7 linked regions of the Macaca mulatta genome follow. The protein of the gene in region 5 interacts with the protein of the main gene of each other region in a pairwise test. Links are inferred from orthologs where the notes say so. Each region holds a gene or a part of one and is shown on either strand. Other genes may lie near its edges. The genes, in order: GABARAPL1, LRRC45, TPM3, MOB1A, KXD1, CCDC185 and EXOC7.

Region 1 (3,500 bases), on a different chromosome or scaffold from region 5:
CCTTTTCATTAGCAGAGATGAATTGAAATGTCATGTCTGAGTGCAATTCCTGCTCCCCACTCCCACCCCACAAAACCCCAAAAGTGAAAATAAATCAATAAAATCCCCATGATTTACTAAAAGTCATCCCTCCAAACCTTTCTAACTAGCAGCTGCAGTGGATGATAACCAAGGAGGGAAGCAGCTGGCCATCACATAGCATTCCTGTGCGTGTGAGCCTGAAGGGACAGCAGCATGGGAGCAAGAATCCTGAATGAGAGGTGTATATAATTACCTTACTTCACACTTGCTCCCTCCCTACATAAGACATCTCTGTCCTGATACATGGAAAATACTAGAGGAGATGCTAAGAGTGGTTTTAGTCTACAACTGGAAATGCCTGAGACTTAAATTCCAAGGTAGGGGTGAGATAAGGGGCACCAGAGAGAAAGAACAGGTTAGACAGAGATGCTCAATAGTCTTGTCAATTCCAGTTTAATGCTATTTAATAACAAAACAATCTTCTTAATCATAACCACCTTTATGTCTAACCCCTATTTTCCAAAGGTAAGAGATCGCTGTCTAAATTTCTGGGTTGTGGTCTACTGCCACCCCTGGGGTGGTACTGTGATGTTTGAGTGAGACTGCAGCTGGGATGGGAGAAAAGAAGTGTGAGACAGGAAAGAACAGGGGCCACAATGCATCAATTACAGTGGGTCTCTTTTGGTCCCCAGGTATGGTCCACTACCACAAGTCCCCTTTCCCTACCTGTCCTGTGCAAATGTCAAAAATAGAATCGCTGCCCAAAGAGAAGGGAGCACAGGGAGTTGCTGCTGGACTACCATCATCTCTGGCCCCAACTTGTCCACCTCCTGACCCTTCTATGAAACTGCACAAAAATTAAATCTCAGGAATGCTGTGAAATTACATCATCCGTATCCCTCTACCAAAGCCAATCCAACAGCTCTGTCCTGACATGCTTTCTCCCTGGGCCGAGGAAGCAGCAAAAAATATCAATTGAGCATGTGAAAATATGATGACGGTGTGTGCGGTGTAATGTTTCTAGATGTCTTCACCTTCTGTCTCCTCGCGGTGGGAGTCACCCTCTTTCCCCAAGTCGCACGCACACCCCTCCCCTACCCCCAAGTCCAGGTGCTCCCATCTGCTGGGCTTCCAACCACTCATTTCCCATAGACACTCTCATCACTGTAGGCCACATACAGAAAATAGTCTTCCTCATGATTGTCCTAGGGGAAGAGATAAGACAACAGTTTAGAAAACATATTCATTCATTAGCTCTAAGATGCTAAGCCTCACACAAGCTTGTAAAGCAGGTATGGAAGGTATCGTTCATCCCCATCTAAAAGGGGAGCAAAGAATCAGGAGATGTGGTTGGAATTACACTTTGAGCTCTGAGTTCACAAACAAAAATCCTTCACTGAAAACATATTACACATAGGTATCAGGGATATGAAGATGACTGGGGCACAGTACTCACTCTTAAAGAGCTCAGTCCTAGCAAGGGGAACATAGATACCACAGATGGGATATATAAGGGGCAGATACTAACAGGGAATATATGCTATGCAATAAAAGTTAGATTCAAGATTATTATAAATTTATGTAATCCATTAATAGGGCATAATGAGAAGGAAGCATCTTATGCAAAATACTGCAAAAAATAATAGTTACAATCCTAGGTTATATTTTTAGTAATAATAAAGTCCTTTACTATAGTTTCTCCAAATTCTGACACTTCCAATTAAACAAAACCACATAAAAATTATTCCTCCTCAGTTTATCTGTTAAGACAAATGAATCCATTTACAGACTTTGCCTTAATTTTATATTTCATTTGATCTGATTCATTGTGCCCAGATAATGTGGAATCTGTTTCACAGTTTTCGTTTTGTTCTAAGAAGAAGTTTCCCTCTGTTTAGATCAATGTGTTTGTCTCAAGCCAAAACTTCAGAGTTCACAGAGGAAGCTGACTGTAGCGGAGGCTGGCCTCAGAGTTAGAAGCTGGCTTTACTATTATGTGCTTTCTCAATCTGTTGCTAAATGGGAGTAAAATAATGAACTGGATTCTGAATGCATTACAAATTACAGACTACCAACAAGAAGAGCAGGAACTGCGATGGGCTGATGCTTTGGAACTTTTGCTATCAGGAGTCACTTCCTGCTGTTTCAATAAACAATCCCACATTAAACACTATAGTCAGACAAGACTGAGAAGAGATTTCAAAAGGATTAAATCTAGTAGAGTGCCTAATCCCTGAAAAACAAGTGGTATCTAATCTCTCAGAGCCTTACGAGGATCCGGATAAATAACACCTTCTGCCCCACTTCTCAGTTGTGTTATCAACATATACTAGAACAAGAGCTAGAGGATGCCAGACTGCCCTGGACGGCATCCAGTATTGTTCGGCTAGAACCATTACCTCATACAGTTGGCCCATGGTAGCACTGGTGGGAGGGATAGTGTTGTTGACAAAGAAGAATAAGGCGTCCTCAGGTCTCAGGTGGATTCTCTTCCGGATTAAGAAGTAGAACTGGCCAACTGGATGATGGAAGAAAAAGGCAGACAAGAAAGGAAGAAAACAAGGAATTAGTAGAATGGTAAGTCCTGGAAAAAAATTCAGTTGCATTTTTTCCCCTTAGAGTCAGTACCAGTTTTATATACCACCTGAGAAGAGCCAAATACTATCCTGGAGCTTTCAAAATAAAAAGGGAAACTCAGAAGCCCGTACAGTCCCTGATATGCCATAGTGGACTTTATTCCTCCTTTCCTCTCTTATTCAATCTCAGACCTCATGTTAGCATATCCACTCAAAGCCTGAGGACTACGCTGAAGGAATACCACGTGCATCCAGACCAAAACATTCCCATCATTGTCTAAACCCGACTTGAAACACTTTCCATCCCCAGACCCACCCTAAGAAAAGCTTAGCAATGAAAGGGGTCCACTGGACACTGGTCATCTTAGCACAGTCACTCAACTCAGTGTTGGGGCATTAAATAAGGTTCAGTGCTTTGCCTTTACCTGAGAATACTGAAAACTTTCTAGATGGCTGATATTCAAACCTGTTAACTCTGAAGCAAATCAACAAAATCTTTCCAGTGTCTCCTGGATGCAGTGTGTATTCCATTAAGGCTCAAGATGAAGACTGAATATATGTCTTATAATCCCAAACAAAATCTACAAAACTTATTTTTTAAAAAATGTAGCTTAAGAAGATGTAATCAGGAAACTCTAAAGCATAATCCTCTCAAGAAACCAGACTGGTTTTCTTTTTGGAACAAATTGACATCACAATTAACAAAGCTGAATTTTTTTTTTTTTTTTTTTTTGAGGCGGAGCGTCACCGTGTCACCCAGGCTGGAGCGCAGTGGCACAATATCGGCTCACTGCAATCTCTGCCTCTAAGGTTCAAGCAATTCTCCAGCCTCAGCCTCCTAAGTAGCTGAGATTACAGGCGCCCGTCACCACATCCAGCTAATTTCTGTATTTTTAATGAAGA
Region 2 (2,659 bases), on a different chromosome or scaffold from region 5:
CAGCCCCCACCACCTCTGCCCCACGTGTGCCCGCACCCCCCAACACCAGGTGCCTCCTGCTCACAGCCCCAACCCCACGAAGCACCTTCCACCCTCATGCACTGAGGGGGCACCCCTGACTTGCCAGGAGAGACCTTGCCCTACAAGGCATTGATTCCCAAGCAGCCAGCCGCCGGGTGCAAGGCTGGTGGCCACCAGCCACTCCTGAGGCTAAGCAGCTCCGGGGTGACACAGCTCCTTGTGTGTGTGTGTGTGTGTGTGTGTATGTATGTGTGACTGAGATCGCTCTGTCACCCAGGCTGGAGTACAGTGGCGCAATCTCGGCTCACTGCAACCTCCACCTCCCGGGTTCAAGCGATTCTCCTGCCTCAGCCTCCTGAGTAGCTGGGATTACAGGTGTGCAATACCATGCACGGCTAATTTTTTGCATTTTTAGTAGAGATAGGGTTTCATCATGTTGGCCAGGCTGGTCTCGAACCCCTGACCTCAGGTGATCCGCCCACCTCGGCCTCTCGAAGTGCTGAGATTCCAGGCATGAGCCCCTGCGCCCGGCTGACACAGCCCCTTCTGCAGAGCAAGCCATGGGCCACAGCCAGGACCGGCTCACCACCTTCCAGGAGAACCAAGCCCGCACTCACGTCCTCAGCAAGGAGGTCCAGCACCTCCGGGAGGAGAAGTCCAAGCAGGTGAGAATGGCGCCTTCACTGACCTTGGAGCTGCTCGTGGCTGGAGGGCCTGGCCATGTCCTGCCTCCTTCGGCCCCGTGGTCTGCCCACCTTCCCTTCCTTGGGGCCGCAGAGCCTGTCTGAGTGGCTCGTACCGGGAAGGAGGGCGGCCTCCTGGTCTGATCTCCTGCAGGTGGGCTTCCTTGGGGAGCTGGTGTCTGAGCCCCAAGGCCTCCCTCTGCAGGAGCCACCCTTCCTGTGAAGGAGACAGGGCGCTGTGGGTGGAGCCCTTTGCTGCCTTGCTGTGTTGGTGGGCACCGGCTCTCCTTCCCCCGAGAAGGTCGTGTGGACAGGCTGTAGGTGCTCTGACAGGGCTGTGGCTGTCTCTGTCCCCAGTTTCTGGACTTGCTGGAGACCATTGATAAGCAGCGGGAAGAGATGGCCAAGAGCAGCAGGTGAGCGGGCGCAGGGCAGGGGCAAGACAAGGCTTCAGGGATTGGGTCCTGGCTCAGACTCAGATGGGACCAACCTGAGCCCACAAGTGAGACCACGAGGTGGTGGCTGGAGGCTCAGTGCCCAGGCGACCGTAGATGCTTAAGGAACAGCAGCAGCTACCGAGGCCAGAGGGGTACGGGAGCGCTCTGGGGTTTGGGTTACTCTCTGCACCCTCCTCTCTGCCCACAGGGCGTCGGCAGCCCGTGTAGGACAGCTTCAGGAAGCCCTGAATGAGAGGCACTCCATCATCAACGCTCTCAAAGCCAAGTAAGTAGGGAGTGGCTCAGGATACTTCAGAAACGTGCCCACAGCGCAGAGGAGGGTGGTGTGAGCCTGTGTGCAAGTCCCGTTTGCAATGTAGAGGTGGGAAACCGTGAGGCTGGGGCAGTAACCCAGAAGCCTTCCTGGAGGAGGCGGGTGCTGGCTGGGGTTCACTAGGTGCCCAGCAACAGTGAGAGCAGCGAGGACTTTGTAAGGCACGTGAAGCTCCAGCCGGGGCGGGGGTGCTGGCCTTCCTTTCTGCAGGCTGCAGATGACGGAGGCCGCCCTGGCTCTGTCAGAGCAGAAGGCCCAGGACCTGGGGGAGCTCCTGGCCACAGCGGAGCAGGAGCAGCTGAGCCTATCGCAGAGGCAGGCCAAGGAGCTCAAGCTGGAGCAGCAGGTGGGTGGGCGGGCTTGAGAGGGGTGGGTGGCAGCTTCGTGACCCTCACTGCCCATACCACGTTCCCCTCCCAGGAAGCTGCGGAGCGGGAGTCTAAGCTCCTCAGAGACTTGTCTGCTGCTAATGAAAAGAACCTGCTTCTGCAAAACCAGGTATCTGTGGCGGAGCCAGGGAGCCCAGGGTGGGCACGGCAGGGCCGGGCTGCAGCTTCCCTCTCTGGTGCCGGCTTTCCAGGTAGAGGAGTTGGAGCGGAAGGTCAGGTGTCAGCAGGAGCAGCTGTTCCAGACCAGGCAGGAACTGACCAGCACATCAGCCGAGCTGAAGATGCGGGCCATCCAGGCCGAGGGTGGGCGTGGGCAGGCCTGCTGTGGAAGGGTTGGGGATGGGCACCCTGGGGACAGGGTCCCCCAGGAGATGCTTACACACGCTCTGCCCCCTGGGCTTCCAGAGCGCCTGGACATGGAGAAGAGAAGGTGCAGACAGAGCCTGGAGGACTCGGAAAGCCTGCGCGTCAAGGAGGTGCCCTCTTTGTTGGCCTCATCTGGCCTCTAATGCTCCTCAGCCTCTGTCCTTGGTGTCATGCAGGTGTCCCCAAAGCACATGCCCGGTGGGAGCTCCCCTTGCCAACCTGGGGTCACTGGGTGGCTGTATTTTGCCAGCCTGAGCGGATGTCAGACCCAGAACCTTCTATTGGGGCTGGGAGGGGACCCCGGCCATGCCTCAGCCGTAGTACAGGCTGCCGCTGAAGAGACACCAAGCCCCACCTGTGCAGTGTGCGCATGCTAGGGTAGTTTCCTGCTAGGCCACCCGAGGCAGTGCTTTCTCAGAATGAACAAGG
Region 3 (3,500 bases), on a different chromosome or scaffold from region 5:
TTTAGAAAGCTCCTGACAGTGGTCAGTGTTCAGATGTGGTTACTCCACAACTTCATTTCTTGGATAAATACCCCACAACTTGAGTGGTGAAAAGAACTGTGGAAAGTAGCCATGAAATGACCTGCACCTTGCCCTTCTGAAATCATGGCTTCCGTTTAAACCCACAGACTAAAGGTTTAAGACTACTAAATTGGAGATTAATGCAGCCATTATCATTCTCCTCAAAGGGAAGGGTACAAATTGCAGACTATTTGGTGAAGTCTTCTTAAAGGAAAAGATTACATTTGAAAAACCAATTCTAGGGTTTGACCCACTTTGCCTAGCTGTGGCATAGGACAGTGCACGTATTAATACATGCCAAGTCATACCAACTTCCTTTGGTATACAGAAGAAGAGATTAATAGTTAATGGGCAAGGTCTTCCTCTACATTTCTCTATTTCAATCCCTACTCAAGGTTCCATACCTTCCAAGTCATCAATTGTCTTTTCCAGCTTGGCTACCGATCTCTCAGCAAACTCAGCACGGGTCTCTGCCTGGGGGAAAGATGAAATTAGTCAGAATCAGAGATGAAGACAAAGAAGAACAATCTCTATTTCTTCCACCTTCTACTTCTGGACCTTTCAGAACCCAAACCAGCCAGTCTAAGTCCACATTAATGTCTTATATACCTCTAAATGTTTTGGGTCCTGCCCTATAATCCCCTCAGCTCACCTCCTTGAGTTTATCAGTAAGAATCTTGATCTCTTCCTCATATTTGTCTTCTTTTTGAGAGTACTGTAAGATAAGTAAAAATTTCAGAGTAGAAATCAATCACACAAGCAATACCCACCTCCCTACACTTAACTCTTACACTGAATATCCTCTTGGACTAAATGTGCTGAATGGTCCAAGAGTAAGAGCAAGGCCTGGCTCTGGAAAACAGGTCCTTGAAATCCAGAAATCTGTCTTTAGAGCCATGAGATCCTCAGGTTAAAATTCTCCATGACTTTTTAAGATGGATCTAAGCTTTGATATTATTCAGATCAACCCAAGGAGGTGTTTTTCCCTTCCCCGGCTTAATGAGCAAGAGTAGTGGCACCCCAAGGTCACATGACTAAAACACACCCACATGATGGCAAAGTGAAGTCATCTGTCTTGATTGCTCATTAGGTCTCAGAGCTGATTCTGTCTGTTGCCCCCATCTGTCTGCCAGAAAGCCTGTTAGGGCCCCTGATTATTGCTTTTCAGCACAGCAGTATCAGCCTGAGGAGCACATGACTCCAGTAACCTGAGACCATGAAGTTATTTTAATTAAAGCAATCAAAGTGCACAGAAAGTAGCATTAAACCCAGAACCTGAATACATGGTAAGGAGGTAGGAAAAGGACATGCCTCATTGAATTATATATGGAATGGGTGTCTCCAGTCTTTCATCAAGGGCAGGGCTGGGCCCAGGCCCCAAAGCCTGTCACTTTCACAAACCAGCCCCTACCTTCTCCGCCTGAGCCTCAAGAGACTTGAGGTTGTTGGTGACATTCTTCAGCTCCTCCTCCAGCTCAGAACACTTACTGTGAATATTTTAAATACCACAGGAGAGGAAAAGGGAAAAGGAAGAGAATAAAAAAAGGGAGAGAGACACACAGACGTGAATTGAACCTATATGTAGAGAGAGTTGGAAGGCATACTGGGGAAGAGATGTTCCCAAGTAACCTGAGCAAGCATCAACCCTCCTCCCTCTACCATAGAACGTGTCAGGAGCTAGACCTTCCTGGGCTCAAAATGTTTGAATACTAATAAAGCACTTGAGAGAAATCCACTACCAGGAATGAGTCATAACTGCTACCTGGGGTGGAGGTGGGAACAAATGCCCAACCCAAACAGTCCCCCAAATCACCCAAAGGAAGGAGACCCTGCGGAGAGGCAGTAAAGCAACTAGGAAAGAAGAGATGAAAGATGCCAAGTAAGTGGAAAAGAATGGAGCATTCCATGAAGAGATGAGACAGCACTCAACAAAATCAAGTGGAGGGGAGGCAGCTGCAAAACAAAAACAAAACAAAACAAAACCACACCATATATATAACCTTGCTGTGGGTTTAATGGTTAGTACCTTTTCTTCAGCAGCACTCAGACACTTCAGGTTCTGGTCCATCAGTCTAATCTGCTCATCCATCTCTCGGCAACGGCTGTTAGTGATAGTCACGGGGATGGCACAAGCCAGGTTGTGGGGAGGGAGAACGGTCAAAAAGGAACACAGCAAGAAAACAAGCAGCAAAACGAAAAAAAAAATTCAAAAAATGGGAAGAGAACACCACCATGGTCATGATATGTTATGTCTGGCAGACGGGAATGTAAGAGGGAAGCACAAATATATATGCATCAGCACTGACTTTGTTAATCAAGGCCGAGAAGGTACCAACAGGGGAGCAGTTAGTATCTACCCTTGCCCTAAAGTTCCCCAGCAGATTGGCAAAGTGGCAAAAACAGACACCAGATTTTTTTTTTTTAATTTTGTTTGTTTTAGGGACAGGGTCTCCCTATGATGCCCAGGCTGGCCTCCAACTCCTGGGTTCAAGCAATCCTCCTGCCTTGGCATCCTAAGTAGCTGGGACTACAGGTGTGAGCCACCACACCCAGCCAGACACCAGATCTTAAATCAGGATAGCCACTTTGATGTCTTCCACCCCAGGTGGAAGGACCCAGTAGGATCTTCCAGTTAACTGTTCACCATGTATTAGTCCTTATTTGCTCTCAATTTGTAAAACCTACCAACAAAAAATAAGAAAGCCTCTTTTGTCACTTGTCACTAGTCAGGAGAATAAGGAAGTCTACAACCATTCTTGGACCTAAAAAAGCACTATAGATGACTCCCATTTCCTAGGCCCTGTTTAACAAGGTTGAAGGAATGCTAATTTATTCATATTAGTGCCCAAGCCAAAGGGGAAGGGACAAATTGGTATGACAAGATTTGGGGAGCTAGATACTTACGACTCTGCCAGCTCAGCTCGTTCCTCTGTGCGTTCCAAGTCTCCTTCAATGATCACCAACTTACGAGCCACCTACAGGAAAAGATCCCAGTATAGCTTAGTGAAGCAAAGGAGCCATTTACCACATTATTCTTTGTAAAAGGCTGAGAGAGGGACTAACAGAAAGTCACTTACCTCTTCATACTTCCTATCTGCCTCTTCTGCAATGTGCTTAGCTTCTTTGAGTTGGATTTCCTGGAGTTCCATCTTTTCTTCATCTTTTAAGGCCCGGTTTTCAATAACCTTCATACCTCTGCCAGAAACAGGACAAAAGCAATACTGACACCCTGAGGAGTGTCGTCAGCTCCACTCCAAGGGTCTCAGAATTGTACTTTTAAAAGCCCATTCCTCTCTATCTGCCCTTCAAATGGAAATTCCATGTTACTACTCCCACACCTTAGTTTAATTATTTCATTTAAAATGTTTTGTTATGGTTGGGTGCGGTGGCTCACGCCTGTAATCCCAGTACTTTGGGAGGCCAAGGTGGGCAGATCACCT
Region 4 (4,252 bases), on a different chromosome or scaffold from region 5:
TTGTTTTTAATAGGGAGAAACCTACAAGCAATCCTCAATTTTATCAGTAGAGGACTGAATTAAAGTATGGTACATCCATATCATGGAATATTGTATAGAAGTTAAGAAAACCAGACAGAGTACACGTATTCACAAGGAAAGATCTAATACATGGTTAAACATAATACACAACCAAATGTACAGCAGGAGCCCATTTTGTAAATGCACAGAAAATATCAACAACTAAATTCATCAAAACTGGTGATTACTTCTAGGAAGAGGAATGGAATAGAATTACAGACTTTTACTTTACCTGAGTAATTTGGACTTTAAATAAGACTGATTAAGAAGAAAAAAAAGAGCCGGGTGCGGTGGATCACGCCTGTAATCCCAGCACTCTGGGAGGCCAGGTGGGTGGATCACTTGACGTCAGGAGCTCTAGACCACCCTGACCAACACCGTGAAACCCCGTCTCTACTAAAAATAGGAAAAAAAAAAAAAAAATTAGCTGGGCGTGGTGGCAAGTGCCTGTAATCCCAGCTACTTGGGAGGCTGAGGCAGGAGAATTGCTTGAACCCGGGAGGTGGAGGTTGCAGTGAGCTGAGATGGTGCCACTGCACTCCAGCCTGGGCAACAGGTGAGACCCTGTCTCAAATAAAAAAAAATTTTAAATTTAAAAAAAGAAGTAAAAAAGAATTATGAAAACACTGAAAATCAAATCTGAAACGTTTTTAACGTGATAAAAAATTATACTGAACAGGGAAGAAAATATTTGCAAATCACAGATGTGATAAGGACTTGTATCTAGAATGTATAAAGAACTCTTACAACTCAAAAACAAAAAGACAACCCAATTTAAAAACAGGCAAAAGATCTAAATAGACTTTACTCCAAGGAATATATACAAATGACCAATAAGTACACGAAAAAATGCTCAACATTATTAGTCATTAGGGAAATGCAAATCAAAATCAGGAGATACCACTCCACATCCACTTAGGATGACTATTAAAAAAAGAAAATTAACAAGTGCTATGAGAGGTGTGGGGAAATTGGACCCCTCATAGAGTGCTTATGGGAATGTAAAATGGTGCAGCACTTTGAAAGTTTGGCAGTTCCTCAAAAGGTTAAACACAGTTACCATGTAAGCCAGTAATTCCACTCCTAAGTATATACCCAAGAGATATGAACACATACATCCACGCAAAAACCTGTCACATATGTTCACAGCAGCATTATTCATAATGGCCAAAAAGCGGCAACAACTCAAGCGCCCATCAAGAAGGTCAAGTTTTAAAAAAAGAAAGTCTCGGCCGGGTGCGGGAGTGGATCATCTGAGGTCAGGAGTTCAAGATCAGCCTGGCCAACATGATGAAACCCAGTCGCCACTAAAAATACAAAAATGAGCCGGGTGTGGTGGCTGGCGCCTGTAATCCCAGCTACTAGGGAGGCTGAGGCAGGAGAGTCGCTTGAACCCGGGAGGCAGAAGTTGCAGTGAGCCGAGACCGTGCCATTGCACTCCAGCCTGGGTGACAGAGCGAAACTCGGTCTCAAAAAAAAAAAGTCTCACATTAAGGTCCACAAAGCAACTGTGCATTCACTAACTAAATATCAACTCGTAAGAAAAAAGTGGAGGGAGGAATACTTCTATTAATATGGAAATTAAATCTAAATCATACAGGCTTTTTGACAAGGTAATCGTATTTTAGAGACCATTCCTTTACGAGAATAACCCAAAGGAGGGAAAATGAGACGCAGATAAACATATTCTTAGTAGTCCTATTTTATAAAAGCAAATACTGGAAGGAATCCCAGTCTCTCACAATAAAGTGGGTGAACTCTGGTTATTTAAAAAAAAAAACAAAAACCGGCCGGGCGCGGTGGCTCAAGCCTGTAATCCCAGCACTTTGGGAGGCCGAGATGGGCGGATCACGAGGTCAGGAGATCGAGACCATGCTGGCTAACGCGGTGAAACCCCGTCTCTACTAAAAAATACAAAAAATTAGCCGGGCGAGGTGGCGGGCGCCTGTGGTCCCAGCTACTCGGGAGGCTGAGGCGGGAGAATGGCGTGAACCCAGGAGGCGGAGCTTGCAGTGAGCTGAGATCTGGCCACTGCACTCCAGCCTGGGCGACAGAGCGAGACTCCGTCTCAAAAATAAAATAAAATTAAAAAAAAACCTATGTAGTGTTTTTATATTGTATTTAATAAAAATGTCAAGCATGTGGATTGCATCCATAACTAAAAATGGATAACTACTCAATCAGGAAACACACATTTAAGCAATATACAAGGTAGAGAGCGCCACCCGAGAATAAAAAATACTTTGCCAGAGCAATGCTTCTCAAACCTTAATGTGCATAAGAATCATGAGGGAATTTACAAGCTTTTTCATTGTAGCCTTGTTTGACTGGGCTCAGGCATTATCTCTAAAATGAGATTCTAAGGTATGTGTATCAAGTTAATTGCTGTAGTGCACTGAAATAGCAATACTGTTTCTGTAATGGGACTATGAATTTGTTTTAATTTTAACTTTCCAAATTATTTATAATAATACTGCAATGTACTATGGAATAATGTTGTATGGTATATTACATAATGATTAAAAACACACGATTCTACCGAGGACAAGAGAAGTTGGTTAAAATCAAAACCAGTAAGTGGGCAGAATCAGAATTGGACAGAACGATCCGACTCCAAGGCCCGCATCTTAACTTCAGGCTTCTCAAACTGCGGCAACGCACATTCTCCCGGAGCGGCATTCAACACCGACAATACTGAAACTGGACCTATAACCGAGCGGCGAGTTAAGTCGGCATGGACGGTTTCTAGAAGCTCGAGACGAGGGAAACTGGGGGCTCGCGGCTCCGCCCCCAGATCGTCTCCTCGCCCTCGGGGGCCCTCGGGCGGAAAAGTTTGCAGGCGCTACGGCCCCGGGGCCTTTCTACTCCCCAACCTTCACGCTCCGTTTCCTTTACCTCACCTTCACCTCTGTCGGCCTCTCCCAACATCTCGGCCTCCCCCGCTGACCCAAACAGAGGCAAAACAAACGCCAGCTACCCCGCCCCCGCCCCGGCCCCCAAGCCCAGCCCTCGCCTCAGGTCCGGGGAGGCCTCCCCCACGATCTCGGCCCGCAGCCCCAGTGCCCGCGGCCCGGCCCCACTCACAAGAGGAAGCTCATCTTCGGTCCTCAGATGGGAGGCGAGGGGCCTCTGGCCCCCGCCCGGATCAGGATTCGGAGCCGGCGAGAGGGAGAGGACCGTCCTTTGGTCACGGGCAGCGGAAGCCGGGCCGCCGCCGCTCGGAGCCGGATTTCTGGCCGCTGCGAGCCCTTGCAAACCTCGGCGCCCGCCTTGCCCGCCTACCCCACCTCGCAAACCCGAAATGCGGAACCAACAAAATCTCGCGAGCTAAGGTTTCGCGGCGCCGGGAGGGACTAGACGCACCCCCTTTCGCTCCGCCTCGTCCTAGAACTTGGCCAATCATTGCTCTCCAAGCCAGGCCCTCCCTCCCCGGGAGGCGTGGCGAGGACGGCGGTCCTGCGGAAAGGGCAGTGGCTAGTCCTGCTCTTAGTCTATCTTGGTGCTGCTGAGTTTCGACCCAGCTCCCTAGGTTGCGCAGGGTCCTCTATAAGCGCTACCTACCCCTGCAAATTTTAAAATTTTTAATTTTTACTTGAGATATATTCACATAGCATAAAATCTATCCTTTAAACATGTACCCTCTAGTGGTCCTTTTCGTTTATGTTTTTTCTTTTTTGAAGTGTCTCACTCTATCGCCCAGACTGGAGTTCACAGTTCACTGCAGCCTGGACTTCCTGGGCTTAAGTGATCCTCTCGCCTCAGCCTCCCGAGTAGCTGAGACCACAGGTGCGTGCCACCACGCCCGGCTAATTTTCTCAAAGTTTTTGCAGAGACGGGGGTCTCACTGTGTTGCCCAAGCTGGTCTTGGACTCCTGGGCTCAAGGGATCCTCCTGGTTTGGCCTCCCAAAATGCTGAGATCACAGGTGTGAGCCACTGCCTCCGGCTTTGTTTATGTTTTCAAAGTGTGCCAACCATCACCACTAATTTTTTTTGTTTGTTTTTCAGACAGAGTCTCACTTTGTAACCCAGGCTGAAGTGCAGTGGTGCAATCTAGGCTCGTTGCAACCTCTGCCTTCCAGATTCAAGTGATTCTCATGCCTCAGCCTCCCGAGTACCTGGGATCACAGTCGTGCGCCACCACACCCGGCTATTTTTTTTTTTTTTTTCAGTAAGGACGGGATTTCACCATGT
Region 5 (3,500 bases):
CCCGTGCCCAGCCCTGCGACTCCAGCCGGAATGGGCGTGCCCTGGCATGGCAGAGGGGTCTTGCAGAAGAGAGGCGTTCTGAGGAAGGAAGGAGCCAGAATTAAAGACCCCCCAGGAATTTCACACCCCTCGGGAGACAGCCCTGTTCCCCTAGGAGCCCTGAGTGACAGAACGGGGCAGCAAAGGAGCCCTGGGTGACAGAACAAGGCAGGGTTACCCGCTGCCACCTTGTATGCCACTGCCCTGAGACCCCTCAAGGCACCGGGCAGTAGGTCTATTCGCCCGTCGTCTCCTCCTCATCTGTCTGGCTGCGGCCGTTGATGGCTGGGGAGCCAGGCTGGACATGGGACAGGTCCTCGAAGCCGGGGCTCAGGGAGGGCGAGACGGTGTCGGGGCTGGTGTCACATGAGCCCGTGCTCTGTTCTGAGGTGGCGATGGTGGTCGTGGTGCTGGGTGGGATGGGGTCTTCATCCTCTTCCTCCAGGAAGGACGCCTCCGGGATATCTGGAGGAAGGAGGCCCAAGAGTTGGTGGTGTCACCTTGCGAAGCACTGGGATGTAGGATTTATTGTCCATGTGACCCATAATGGCTGCCCTCACCCCATGGGGGCATGACTTGGCCCCTTTTTTTTTTTTTTTTTTTTTTTTTGAGACGGAGTTTCGCTCTTGTTGCCCAAGCTAGAGTGCAATGGTGTGATCTCAGCTCACTGCAACCTCCGCCTCCCGGGTTCAAGCAATTCTCCTGCCTCAGCCTCCCGAGTAGCTGGGACTACAGGTGCCCGTCACCACGCCCATCTAATTTTGTATTTTTACTACAAACGGGGTTTCTCTATGTTGGTAGGGCTGGTATCGAACTCCCGACCTCAGGTGATCCACCCGCCTCGGCCTCCCAGTGTTGGGATTATAGGCATGAGCCACCGCGCCCGGCAGACTTGGCCCATTTTTATTTTGTAGAGGAGGAAACTGAGGTCCAGGCAGGGAAGAGCTCTCCCTTCAAGGTGAGGTGAGGAAGGGACACAAGCTCTGGGGTTGGGCCTACAGGAGCCGTGAGGGCAAGCCTGGCTCACTGCACTACCTGGCCTAGGTACATGACCTCCCCTCAGCCCGGCTCTCTGCTCTGTAAACTGCTGTTGGAGGCCCTAGGATGGAGAGCCGTCGGCCTTTTCAACAGATGGGATGAACCCAGGCTCAGCCTGCAGAGCCCTTTAAGGTGGTGGCAACATGGAGTGGTACCTCAGAGAACAGACGGGCTCTTTAGCCAGACGGATGTGCACTCAAGTCCCGCCCCTCTGGGCCTCTGTTTCCCTCTCCATGAAACGGGGATACTCACAGTCCCCACCTCATGGGTGACTGTGGGTAACAGCCTGGTTCACAGGGGCTCATGATGCACACGGGGATAAGGATCATCATGCCACTTATCCACATTCCCTGTGCGGCCTCCCCACAGGGCACGGACTCCCGTCCTAGCGCCAGCCTTGTAGGCTGCCGAGAAGACCAGGCCAGCACCCTGCCCCCGCCCCCGCCCCAGGTTTCTCCAGACCCACTGCCCATTACAGCCTGGTCTCAGGATCAGGCCCCAAGGTGGCCTTCCAGAAGCCTGCCCTGGGCGGAGAGTGCTGACATGCTCGGGAGCCGGAGCCCTGTGTGACACTTACGGCTGAAGGCCTCTGGGTGCTGCCTGGCCAGTTTCCCTTTCAGCGTCCTGCAGGGGAGAGAAGGCACACAGGGCTTAACCTGCTGAGCAGGCAGGCCAGGCCTTGTGCCAGTCACAGGCCCCTGCTGCCGGCTGAGGGCAAGGGGAGACGGGAGTGAGAACCCCACACTGTTCATCACATCACATCTTCACTCTCTCCAGGTGCTCGGCCCCACAGCCACGGCCCTGACAGTCACTCACCAGCCGGCCTCCAGCCCCAGGGTAGGCAACAACCCCCAACTAGTTAAGACTCTGGGTGCTCTGAGCCTAGGCACTGGCTGGGGGCTCCCCCTACAAGGCCCCTTCTTACATGTGGCCTCCTCTACTCTGATAAACTCTTTTTTTTATTTTTTGAGACAGAATCTCGCTCTGTCACCCACGGTGGAATGCAGTGGTGCCATCTTGGCTCACTGCAACCTCCACCTTCTGGATTCACATGATTCTCCTCCCTCAGCCTCCCGAGTACCTGGGATTACAGGCACGAGCCACCGTGCTCAGCTGATTTTTTGTATTTTTTTTTTTTTTTTTTTTTGAGACAGAGTCTCGTTCTGTCGCCCAGGCTGGAGGGCAGTGGCACGATCTCGGCTCACTGCAAGCTCTGCCGCCTCCCGGGTTCACGCCATTCTCCTGCCTCAGCCTCCCGAGAAGCTGGGACTATAGGCGCCTGCCATTGTGCCCGGCTAATTTTTTTTTTTTTTTTTTTTTTTTTTTGAGACGGAGTCTCGCTCTGTGGCCCAGGCTGGAGTGCCGTGGCCGGATCTCAGCTCACTGCAAGCTCCGCCTTCCGGGTTTACGCCATTCTCCTGCCTCAGCCTCCCGAGTAGCTGGGACTACAGGCGCCCACCATCTCGCCCGGCTAGTTTTTTGTATTTTTTTTAGTAGAGACGGGGTTTCACCGTGTTAGCCAGGATGGTCTCGATCTCCTGACCTCATGATCCGCCCGTCTCGGCCTCCCAAAGTGCTGGAATTACAGGCTTGAGCCACCGCGCCCGGCCCCGGCTAATTTTTTTGTATTTTTAGTAGAGACAGGGTTTCACCGTGTTTGCCAGTATGGTCTCGATCTCCTGACCTCGTGATCCGCCTGCCTCGGCCTCCCAAAGTGCTGGGATTACAGGCGTAAGCCACCGCGCCTGGCGGTTTTTTGTATTTTTAATAGAGACGGGGTTTCATCATGTTGGCCAGGCTGGTCTCGAACTCCTGACCTCAGGTGATCCGCCTGCGTCAGCCTCCCAAACTGCTGGGATTACAGGCATGCGCCACTGTGCCTGGCCATTCCTGCCTTTTCATTATGTGTCTAGCACTATGTTACCTTTTTTTTTTTTTTTTTTTTTGAGACGGAGTCTAGCTCTGTTGCCCAGGCTGGAGTGCAGTGGCCGGATCTCAGCTCACTGCAAGCCCCGCCTCCCGGGTTCACGCCATTCTCCTGCCTCAGCCTCCCGAGTAGCTGGGAGTACAGGCGCCCGCCACCTCGCCCGGCTAATTTTTTTTGTATTTTAGTAGAGATGGGGTTTCACCATGTTAGCCAGGATGGTCTCGATCTCCTGAACTCGTGATCCGCCCGTCTCCGCCTCCCAAAGTGCTGGGATTACAGGTGTGAGCCACCACGCTCAGCTGCACTATGTTACGTTTTTTAAGAATAAATAAACTGCAAGATTGAGCGTGATGGCTCATGCCTATAATCCCTGCATTTGGGAGGTCGACGTGGATGGATCACCTGAGGCCAGGAGTTTGAGATGAGGCTGGCCAACATGGGGAAACCCTGTCTCTACTAAAAAAAATACAAAAAGTACACAAAATACAAAAATTAG
Region 6 (3,377 bases), on a different chromosome or scaffold from region 5:
CGTGCTGGCTGCACCCGCACTGTTCGTTCACGCCGCGGCCTCGCAGGCGCGGGTGCTCAGACTCACCGCGGGGCAGCCGAAGCCTGAGCGATGTGGTCCGCAGGCCCCTGGACCGCTCCAGGAAGCACGGGCTCCGCAGCAGGCGCCTAGAAGATGCCTGGGGAGAGACAGGAACCAAGCCCCGCCCAGCTTGGCAGCCGCAGACCCAGCTGCCACCCCAGCGGCCGCAGCCCTGCCCGCATTACCCACTGGCCCAGGGAGACTCGCCCCCGCCTTACTCCGGAGGAGCTGGCACTCCCCTGAGTGGCACATTCAGGGTAGAAAAGGCACAGGGTGGAGACCAGTGGGCAGTGCCGCTCGGCAGACATCTAGGTCGCTGGTCCGCTTCCTCAGTTCCCTCGGAGCGGTCTTCTGTGCCCTCCCAAAAGTTCAGGAGGCACTCAGCCTGCGGGTGCGCCCAGAAGAGAGACAGCAGCGACCAGGTTGAGTCATTAGCAAGCCGGGACTCCCAGCCCTCGGCCTCTAGCAAAGAGATGCGGAGCCCCCACACCCAGGTCCTGAAGAGCAAGCTGGAAGAGGCAGTGGTGTCCTCCCAGGACCAGCAGATTGTGGCCCTCGTGTTGACCCGTCTCAAGAAGGCCCAGAGGATGCGGGAGCTGCAGCAGCAGGCGGCTGAGGCCTGGGAGGAGTTGAAGCGCTCGGATCAGAAGGTCCAGATGACCTTGGAGCGGGAACGCCGGCTGCTGCTGCAGCAGAGCCAGGAGCAGTGGCAGGAGAAGGAGCAGCGCAAGACCCTCCAAAGCCCTGAGCAGCGCTGCCGGCGGCGGGACAGCCAGAGGAAGAACGTGACCCCGGGGGAAAGCCGGTGGAAGGAACAAACTGAGGACCAGGAGAGCCCGCGCCAGGAGAAGCTGGAGAAGGCGCGCGCCCAGGCAGAGCACCGAAAGCAGTGCCAGGTGCGGCGCCTGCGGGAGCAGGAGAAGATGCAACGGAACCTCCGGGAGCAACACACCCTGCAGCTACAGAGGAGGCTGGTGGAGGCCTGTCGCAAGAGGCATCTGCATGCCGTGGAGGGACAGAAGAAGGTCCAGGACACCAACCTGAGCTCTCTCATCAATTACCAGGCCCGGAAGGTCCTCATGGACTGCCAGGCCAAGGCTGAGGAGCTCCTTAGGCAGCTGTCCCTGGAACAAAGTTTCCAGCGGTCCCAAGAGATACACCAGGGCCTGATGAAGGAGCGGCACCGCGAGCTGAGGGAGAAGGCCCAGAAGGAGGAAGAGCAGTTGCAGCAGGCCAGGTGGCGTGCAGGGGAGTCAGAGGAGCAGAGGAAGATGCGCAAAAGGATTCTGGTGGAGCTGGCAGATGAGAAGATCCGACAGGCCAGGAATCACGTGCACAAGACCACTAGGGACAAGGTGCAGCACCTCCGGGAGCTCAACCACCTGAGGGAGAAAAACCACCACATCCTGAAACTGAAAGCCGAGAAGGAGGAAAAGTGCCACATTGAAGGCATCAAGGAGGCCATTAAGAAAAAGGAGCAGAGGGTGCGGCACATTACCCAAGGGAAAGACCCAAACTTCCAGGAGTTCCAGAAGCTCCCTCAGGCCTCCAGGAGAGAAGAGAGAGCGCCTCCCAACAGCTCCCTTGATCAGATAGTACTAGAGGCCCAGCTCCGTGCCTGTCAGCAGAACAGGGATTACTGAGAACCAAGGACGCCTGGCTTACAGCGCCAGCCAGAAGGAGATGTGGCAATGTGATTCCTTTTGTAATCTGATTATAATTGAACATTGATTTTAAAAAAGCATATAAAATAGCTGCAATTTCCTCTCATGAACTGGTTTATTGATTCACTTGGATAGTTTAGAGGGTCGGGGAGAAAATTTTGAGAATTTCTATGAAAATGACTTGGCTTTGTGAATTTCGATTTGAATACAAAATATTCATTTAGCTCTCAAGTAATCTGAGAAACACACAACAGGCACATTTTGGAGACACCAGAGAAAAATCTATAGTTAGGGATACAGTTCTGTGACATGTCTTAAGTCTTTTCCTGTCCCAGAACTTATGAAAGGGTGAAGTATAAAGTACGCATCATAAGAAATCTCCAAGACAAAAAGAAATTTTAAAAAGAGTGAAGTGGGAGGATTCCTGTGAACGAGTAGATTTGGGAACCCTGCATACTATATCCTCTCTTGGGAGTTCATAATGCACTTTAAAATTTTAAAGACATGCAGTAAAGAAACTTAATGTTTAATGTCCCTCACCTCTTTTTTTTTCTCAGATAATTTCATGGAATTGATGTTCTGTGAAACATTTTTGAAAATGGCACTCTATAGTTCTTATCTGATTGTGAACTTCTTTGGCCTTCCCTCCCTGTATTGATAGGAAGTATTTATAATTCCATCAGCACTATTTCTTGACTGTTCCACCACAGCCACACCATCTGATATAGTTTGGCTCTGTCCCCACCCAAATCTCATCTTGAGCTATATAGCTCCCATAATTCCCACGTGTTGTAGGAGAGGCCTTGGGAGATAATCGAATCATGGGGGTGGGGGTTTCCCCCATACTGTTCTCATGGTAGTGAATAAGTCTAAAGAGATCTGATTGTTTCAATAGGGGAAACCCTTTTCACTTGATTCTCATTCTCTCTTGTCTTTCACCTTCCACCATGATTGTAAGGCCTCCCTAGCCACATGGAATGAGTCCATTAAATCTCTTTTTCTGTATAAATTACCCACTCTTGGGTATGTGTTTATCAGCAGCGTGAAAGCAGACTAATGCATCATCTAAGATCTCATTGGAATCTATTTGGTCTGGTTCTTTTTTTGGTCAGTCCTATCCAGCCTTACAGAATAAAATTCTATTGGAATCCTTCTCTTCTCCTCTATTTCTCCTCTGTCTCTTGAAGGAGGTATGTGATGTCATTCTGTCTACCCACATTGTGTCTAATTAACCTAACCAGGCCCTGAGTCAATGACTAAGCATGACTCAGTAATATGACATTTTAAAAATAAGGAGCCAAAAGTTAAATAGAAATTAACCCATCATATCTCAGAGTCTTTATTGAACTCTCTAAATGTTTTCTTTAAAAAGCCCCTAGTGTCACATTTGTATTAGAGAGAGAGAAATAGAATAAGCTCCATTGGGAGATTTATATCTTATTAGTAATTCTAAAACAACATTAAAGATAACCTGACAAAGGATTTTGTGCAAAGGTCAGTTTGAGGTCCACTTTCTTGGCTCTTATCATGGAAACCAGGCCCTCTTCCCCATTCCATTTTCTTCCCTTGCCCCAGTCCCTTCTGCCTGGTATCCCCAAAGAGGCCTACGGTAGGACCCTTATTCTTCTCCTCAAAAATGTTCAAGGACAGCCG
Region 7 (3,500 bases), on a different chromosome or scaffold from region 5:
ACAGAGTGAGACTCTTGTCTCGAAGAAAGAAGGCTGGGTGCAGTGGCTCACGCCTATAATCCCAGCACTTTGGGAGGCCTAGGCAGGCGGATCACCTGAGGTCAGAAGTTCGAGACCAGCCTGACCAACATAGAGAAACCCCGTCTCTACTAAAAATACAAAATTAGCTGGGCGTGGTGGCCTGTAATCCCAGCTACTTGGGAGGCTGAGGCAAGAGAATCTCTTGAACCCAGGAGGTTACGGTGAGCTGAGATGATGCCATTGCACTCCAGCCTGGACAACAAGAGCAAAACTCCATCTCAAAAAGAAAGAAAGAAAGAAAATAAAAACTTCAACTCCAATAGATATCCAGTATTGCACTTTTTTTTTTTTTTTTTTTTGAGACGGAGCCTCGCACTGTCACCCAGGCTAGAGTGCAGTGGTGTGATCCTGACTCACCACAACCTCTGCCTCCTGGGTTCAAGCAATTCTGCCTCAGCCTCCCCAGTAGCTGGGATTACAGGTGCCCGCCACCACGCCCAGCTAATTTTTGTTTATTCTCAAGGGTGCAGGGATTAGGTGTAAGTGTCTGAAGATACTTGTAACCTTCTTGCCGTCACTAGCTCCTCTCCAAATAGATCAGGCCAATTGATGGACTCATTGACAGTTCCATGGCCATTTGTTCTTCATTAATTTTTGTTTTTGCTATCTGATAGGACTATCACAGTACTCTAACTTTTTAAATTTGTACTTTATTAATGGCTAAAGATGTGTGTTTTTCATTCACTAACATCTGTTGTCTGTTTGCTTCCTATAGAGCTCGTGTTCTTTGACCCCTTACCAAGTTGAATCTGGATATTAACTTTGTTTTTTTATTAAAAAAAAAAAAAGTACGATTTAAACTTACAACTAGGGCTGGGCGCAGTGGCTCGTGCCTGTAATCCCAGCACTTTGGGAGGCCGAGGCCAGTGGATCATTTGAGGTCAGGAGTTCAAGACCAGCGTGGCCAACATGGTGAAACCCCATTTCTACTAAAAATACAAAAAATTAGCTGGGTGTGGTGGCGGGCACCTGTAATAATCCCATCTACTTGGGAGGCTGAGGCAGGAGAATCGCTTAAACCTGGGAGGCAGAGGTCACAGTGAGCCCGTGCCATTGCATTCTAGCCTGGGCGACAAAAATGAAACTCAGTCTCAAAAAAAAATAAAAAAACTAGGGCTGGGCATGGTGGCTCATGCCTATAATCCCAGCACTTTGGGAGGCCGAGGCTGGTGAATCATTTGAGATCAGGAGTTCAAGACCAGCCTTGCCAACATGGTGAAACCCCATCTCTACTAAAAATATAAAAATTAGCTGGGTGGAAGTGGCGCATGCCTGTAATCCCAGCCACTCAAGGCTGAGGCAAGAGAATTGGTTGAGCCTGGGAGGCAGAGGTTGCAGTGAGCCATCACACCACTGCACTCCAGCCTGGGCGACAGAGTAAGACCTTACCTAAAAAAAAAAAAAATTACAACTAATTATCAGTTCTATCGGAGGGTGTTTTTCTCTTTTAAGATTGCCTGGCCGGGCGTGGTGACTCACGCCTGTCATCCCAGCACTCTGGGAGGCTGAAGTGGGCAGATTACTTGAGCCCAGGAGGTCGAGCCTGCAGTGAGCTGACATCGTGCCACTGCACTGCAGCCTGGACAACAGAGCAAGACCCTGTCTCAAAAAAGAAAAAAAAATACTTTGCCTGATTTGGGACAAGATATGGGTGGCTTGCGACCCAGAGCAGACAGCAGATGCTAAGAAGGGTTGACAGGTAGACATGGTGGGTCTGCAAGGCAGAGGCAGGGCCTGGCAGCCATACCTCTATCGCTCTGTATCTCCTCAGATTTCATGAACGTCTACTACCAGATACGCTCCAGCCAGCTGGACCGCTCCATCAAGGGCCTGAAGGAGCATTTCCATAAGAGCAGTTCTTCCTCTGGGGTTCCCTACTCCCCTGCTATCCCCAACAAGAGGAAAGACACACCTACCAAGAAGCCAGTCAAGCGGCCAGGTGAGCCCCTATGCTGGCCCATCTCTGCAACAGCCAGAGGCTGACTGGAACTGCACTGCTTTCATCCAATCTAGCGTTCGCAGCGTCAGACCCCTCTAGAGCTTGTCGTTATGGTAACCCTGACTGTAGGTACACAGGACAGAAAGCAAGTGTCTACCCAGCCAGTGAGGCCCCCGCAGAGCAAGACCCTTCTACCCAGCAGAGCCTGGGGGTGACACAGCTTCTTTGGAGTGAGGGAGTAACACAGGTGCTCAGTTAATCCTGCCTGAGGCAGGCGGCAGAGGCTTCTAGGGCCGAGCCCCTGCCTAGGCCTCGTGCCTCACACACACATCACCCTGTCAGGAGACCAGGCACACTGCTGCATCCAGGACGCTGGGATAGCGAGGGGATAGGTGCTCCAACCTTCACCTTCCAGAAAGGCAAGGTGACCTGAAGTGATGTGTAGCTGAGAGCTGGATGGGGAGAATTTCACTTTCCCAGTCGATCCAAAAAGGAAAGAAACCCCAGAGCATCTTCTCAGAAGAACTTAAACTGGCTTTGGGCTCCAGTGCGAGTCAGTGCCTTGTGGAAAGAGGCACCGTGATGAGAGGCCTGGGCCGGTGGGTGTCGCTGTCCTGGGTGAACATCTCGTCATCTGTCTGTTCTTTCTCCCTGGCATCATGTCCCTTGTAGTCTGTGCTCCAGGTAAACAGTGTCTCTGCCAGCCACAGCTTGGCAAGCCCGGCTGTCTCTGGCCACTGACAGATGCCCGCAACTCGATGACATGCTGGGATGTTCTGGGGTGGGGCTGCTGAGATTGCTCTGGAAGAGAAAGCTGGAGAAGCCAGGGCTGCTCCCACCCAGGCTGGCCCCCTGTCCAACTGCTGCTGCAGGCACATGCCCTAGGTGTGGCCTGTGGGACCTGCTTATGACAATAGGCTTTAGGTAGAGCTTACTTACACCCTTGGTTTCTCCAGTCCCTACCTGCCCATGCCTCTCAGAGACCGAGGTGTCTGTTCCACAAGAGCACCCGCTCCTCTCCAGGCCTTTGTTTAGGGTTTAGAGAAACAGGCAGAGTAGGGGCTGCCCTCAGGGAGTAGAGCATTAGGGAGCTGGTGCCTGGGGCCTTCTCCCTCCAGTGTGGATGTCCTGCCCACCCAGCCAAAACCTGCAAATGGGGACTGCCAGCCCAGCCTGTGGGCGCAGCTGCCTGCACAGCGGATGGAGCAGCTCTGTACCTTCTGTGTGGTGGGGAGTGGCTGTCTCTGTGAGGCTTCGAGGATGCTTTAGCCCCAGCCACTCTGTGCTCACTTCCTCTTCTACCTGGTTCCCTGACAGGCCCCCTGGAAGCCCCAGAGCCCTATTTGCACTGCCCTAAGAGTGCCCGCTGGCCATGCAGCCCCCTGGCCTTTCAGGCAGGAGGGATCTGATCTCAGGTAGCTTACAGTGGACCGCATCCGTCCTTGGCCCAGGGACACAAGAGGAAAGCTCTCCGGCTGTG

What was found.
Region 1: the proteins of KXD1 (region 5) and GABARAPL1 interact in binary tests that used the Homo sapiens proteins (3 or more experiments, as listed by UniProt). The two-hybrid records come from large-scale screens. The link is inferred for Macaca mulatta from reciprocal best matches to the Homo sapiens genes KXD1 and GABARAPL1.
Region 2: the proteins of KXD1 (region 5) and LRRC45 interact in binary tests that used the Homo sapiens proteins (3 or more experiments, as listed by UniProt). The two-hybrid records come from large-scale screens. The link is inferred for Macaca mulatta from reciprocal best matches to the Homo sapiens genes KXD1 and LRRC45.
Region 3: the proteins of KXD1 (region 5) and TPM3 interact in binary tests that used the Homo sapiens proteins (3 or more experiments, as listed by UniProt). The two-hybrid records come from large-scale screens. The link is inferred for Macaca mulatta from reciprocal best matches to the Homo sapiens genes KXD1 and TPM3.
Region 4: the proteins of KXD1 (region 5) and MOB1A interact in binary tests that used the Homo sapiens proteins (3 or more experiments, as listed by UniProt). The two-hybrid records come from large-scale screens. The link is inferred for Macaca mulatta from reciprocal best matches to the Homo sapiens genes KXD1 and MOB1A.
Region 6: the proteins of KXD1 (region 5) and CCDC185 interact in a two-hybrid assay, tested with the Homo sapiens proteins (2 studies listed by BioGRID and IntAct). The two-hybrid records come from large-scale screens. The link is inferred for Macaca mulatta from reciprocal best matches to the Homo sapiens genes KXD1 and CCDC185.
Region 7: the proteins of KXD1 (region 5) and EXOC7 interact in binary tests that used the Homo sapiens proteins (3 or more experiments, as listed by UniProt). The two-hybrid records come from large-scale screens. The link is inferred for Macaca mulatta from reciprocal best matches to the Homo sapiens genes KXD1 and EXOC7.

Annotation. Positions count from the first base shown.
Region 1 is NC_133416.1:10,332,548-10,336,047, forward strand, and holds part of GABARAPL1 (gamma-aminobutyric acid receptor-associated protein-like 1), read right to left. Parts: intron 2,540-3,500; coding exon 2,421-2,539; intron 1,227-2,420; coding exon 1,161-1,226; 3' UTR 1-1,160. UniProt on the Homo sapiens protein: Ubiquitin-like modifier that increases cell-surface expression of kappa-type opioid receptor through facilitating anterograde intracellular trafficking of the receptor. Involved in formation of autophagosomal vacuoles.
Region 2 is NC_133421.1:91,697,831-91,700,489, forward strand, and holds part of LRRC45 (leucine-rich repeat-containing protein 45), read left to right. Parts: intron 1-573; coding exon 574-686; intron 687-1,061; coding exon 1,062-1,120; intron 1,121-1,349; coding exon 1,350-1,427; intron 1,428-1,685; coding exon 1,686-1,821; intron 1,822-1,895; coding exon 1,896-1,973; intron 1,974-2,055; coding exon 2,056-2,167; intron 2,168-2,269; coding exon 2,270-2,340; intron 2,341-2,659. UniProt on the Homo sapiens protein: Component of the proteinaceous fiber-like linker between two centrioles, required for centrosome cohesion.
Region 3 is NC_133406.1:112,859,409-112,862,908, reverse strand, and holds part of TPM3 (tropomyosin alpha-3 chain), read right to left. Parts: intron 3,256-3,500; coding exon 3,138-3,255; intron 3,036-3,137; coding exon 2,965-3,035; intron 2,163-2,964; coding exon of another isoform or gene 2,087-2,162; exon of another isoform or gene 1,548-2,086; coding exon 1,472-1,547; intron 776-1,471; coding exon 713-775; intron 535-712; coding exon 465-534; coding exon of another isoform or gene 451-464; exon of another isoform or gene 429-450; intron 1-428. UniProt on the Homo sapiens protein: Binds to actin filaments in muscle and non-muscle cells. Plays a central role, in association with the troponin complex, in the calcium dependent regulation of vertebrate striated muscle contraction.
Region 4 is NC_133418.1:50,632,009-50,636,260, reverse strand, and holds the start of MOB1A (MOB kinase activator 1A), read right to left. Parts: upstream 2,801-4,252; 5' UTR 2,740-2,800; coding exon 2,600-2,739; intron 1-2,599. UniProt on the Homo sapiens protein: Activator of LATS1/2 in the Hippo signaling pathway which plays a pivotal role in organ size control and tumor suppression by restricting proliferation and promoting apoptosis.
Region 5 is NC_133424.1:19,116,238-19,119,737, reverse strand, and holds part of KXD1 (kxDL motif-containing protein 1), read right to left. Parts: intron 1,702-3,500; coding exon 1,655-1,701; intron 505-1,654; coding exon 275-504; 3' UTR 1-274.
Region 6 is NC_133406.1:81,272,842-81,276,218, forward strand, and holds the end of CCDC185 (coiled-coil domain-containing protein 185), read left to right. Parts: coding exon 1-1,703; 3' UTR 1,704-2,877; downstream 2,878-3,377.
Region 7 is NC_133421.1:85,825,751-85,829,250, reverse strand, and holds part of EXOC7 (exocyst complex component 7), read left to right. Parts: intron 1-1,852; coding exon 1,853-2,020; intron 2,021-3,500. UniProt on the Homo sapiens protein: Component of the exocyst complex involved in the docking of exocytic vesicles with fusion sites on the plasma membrane.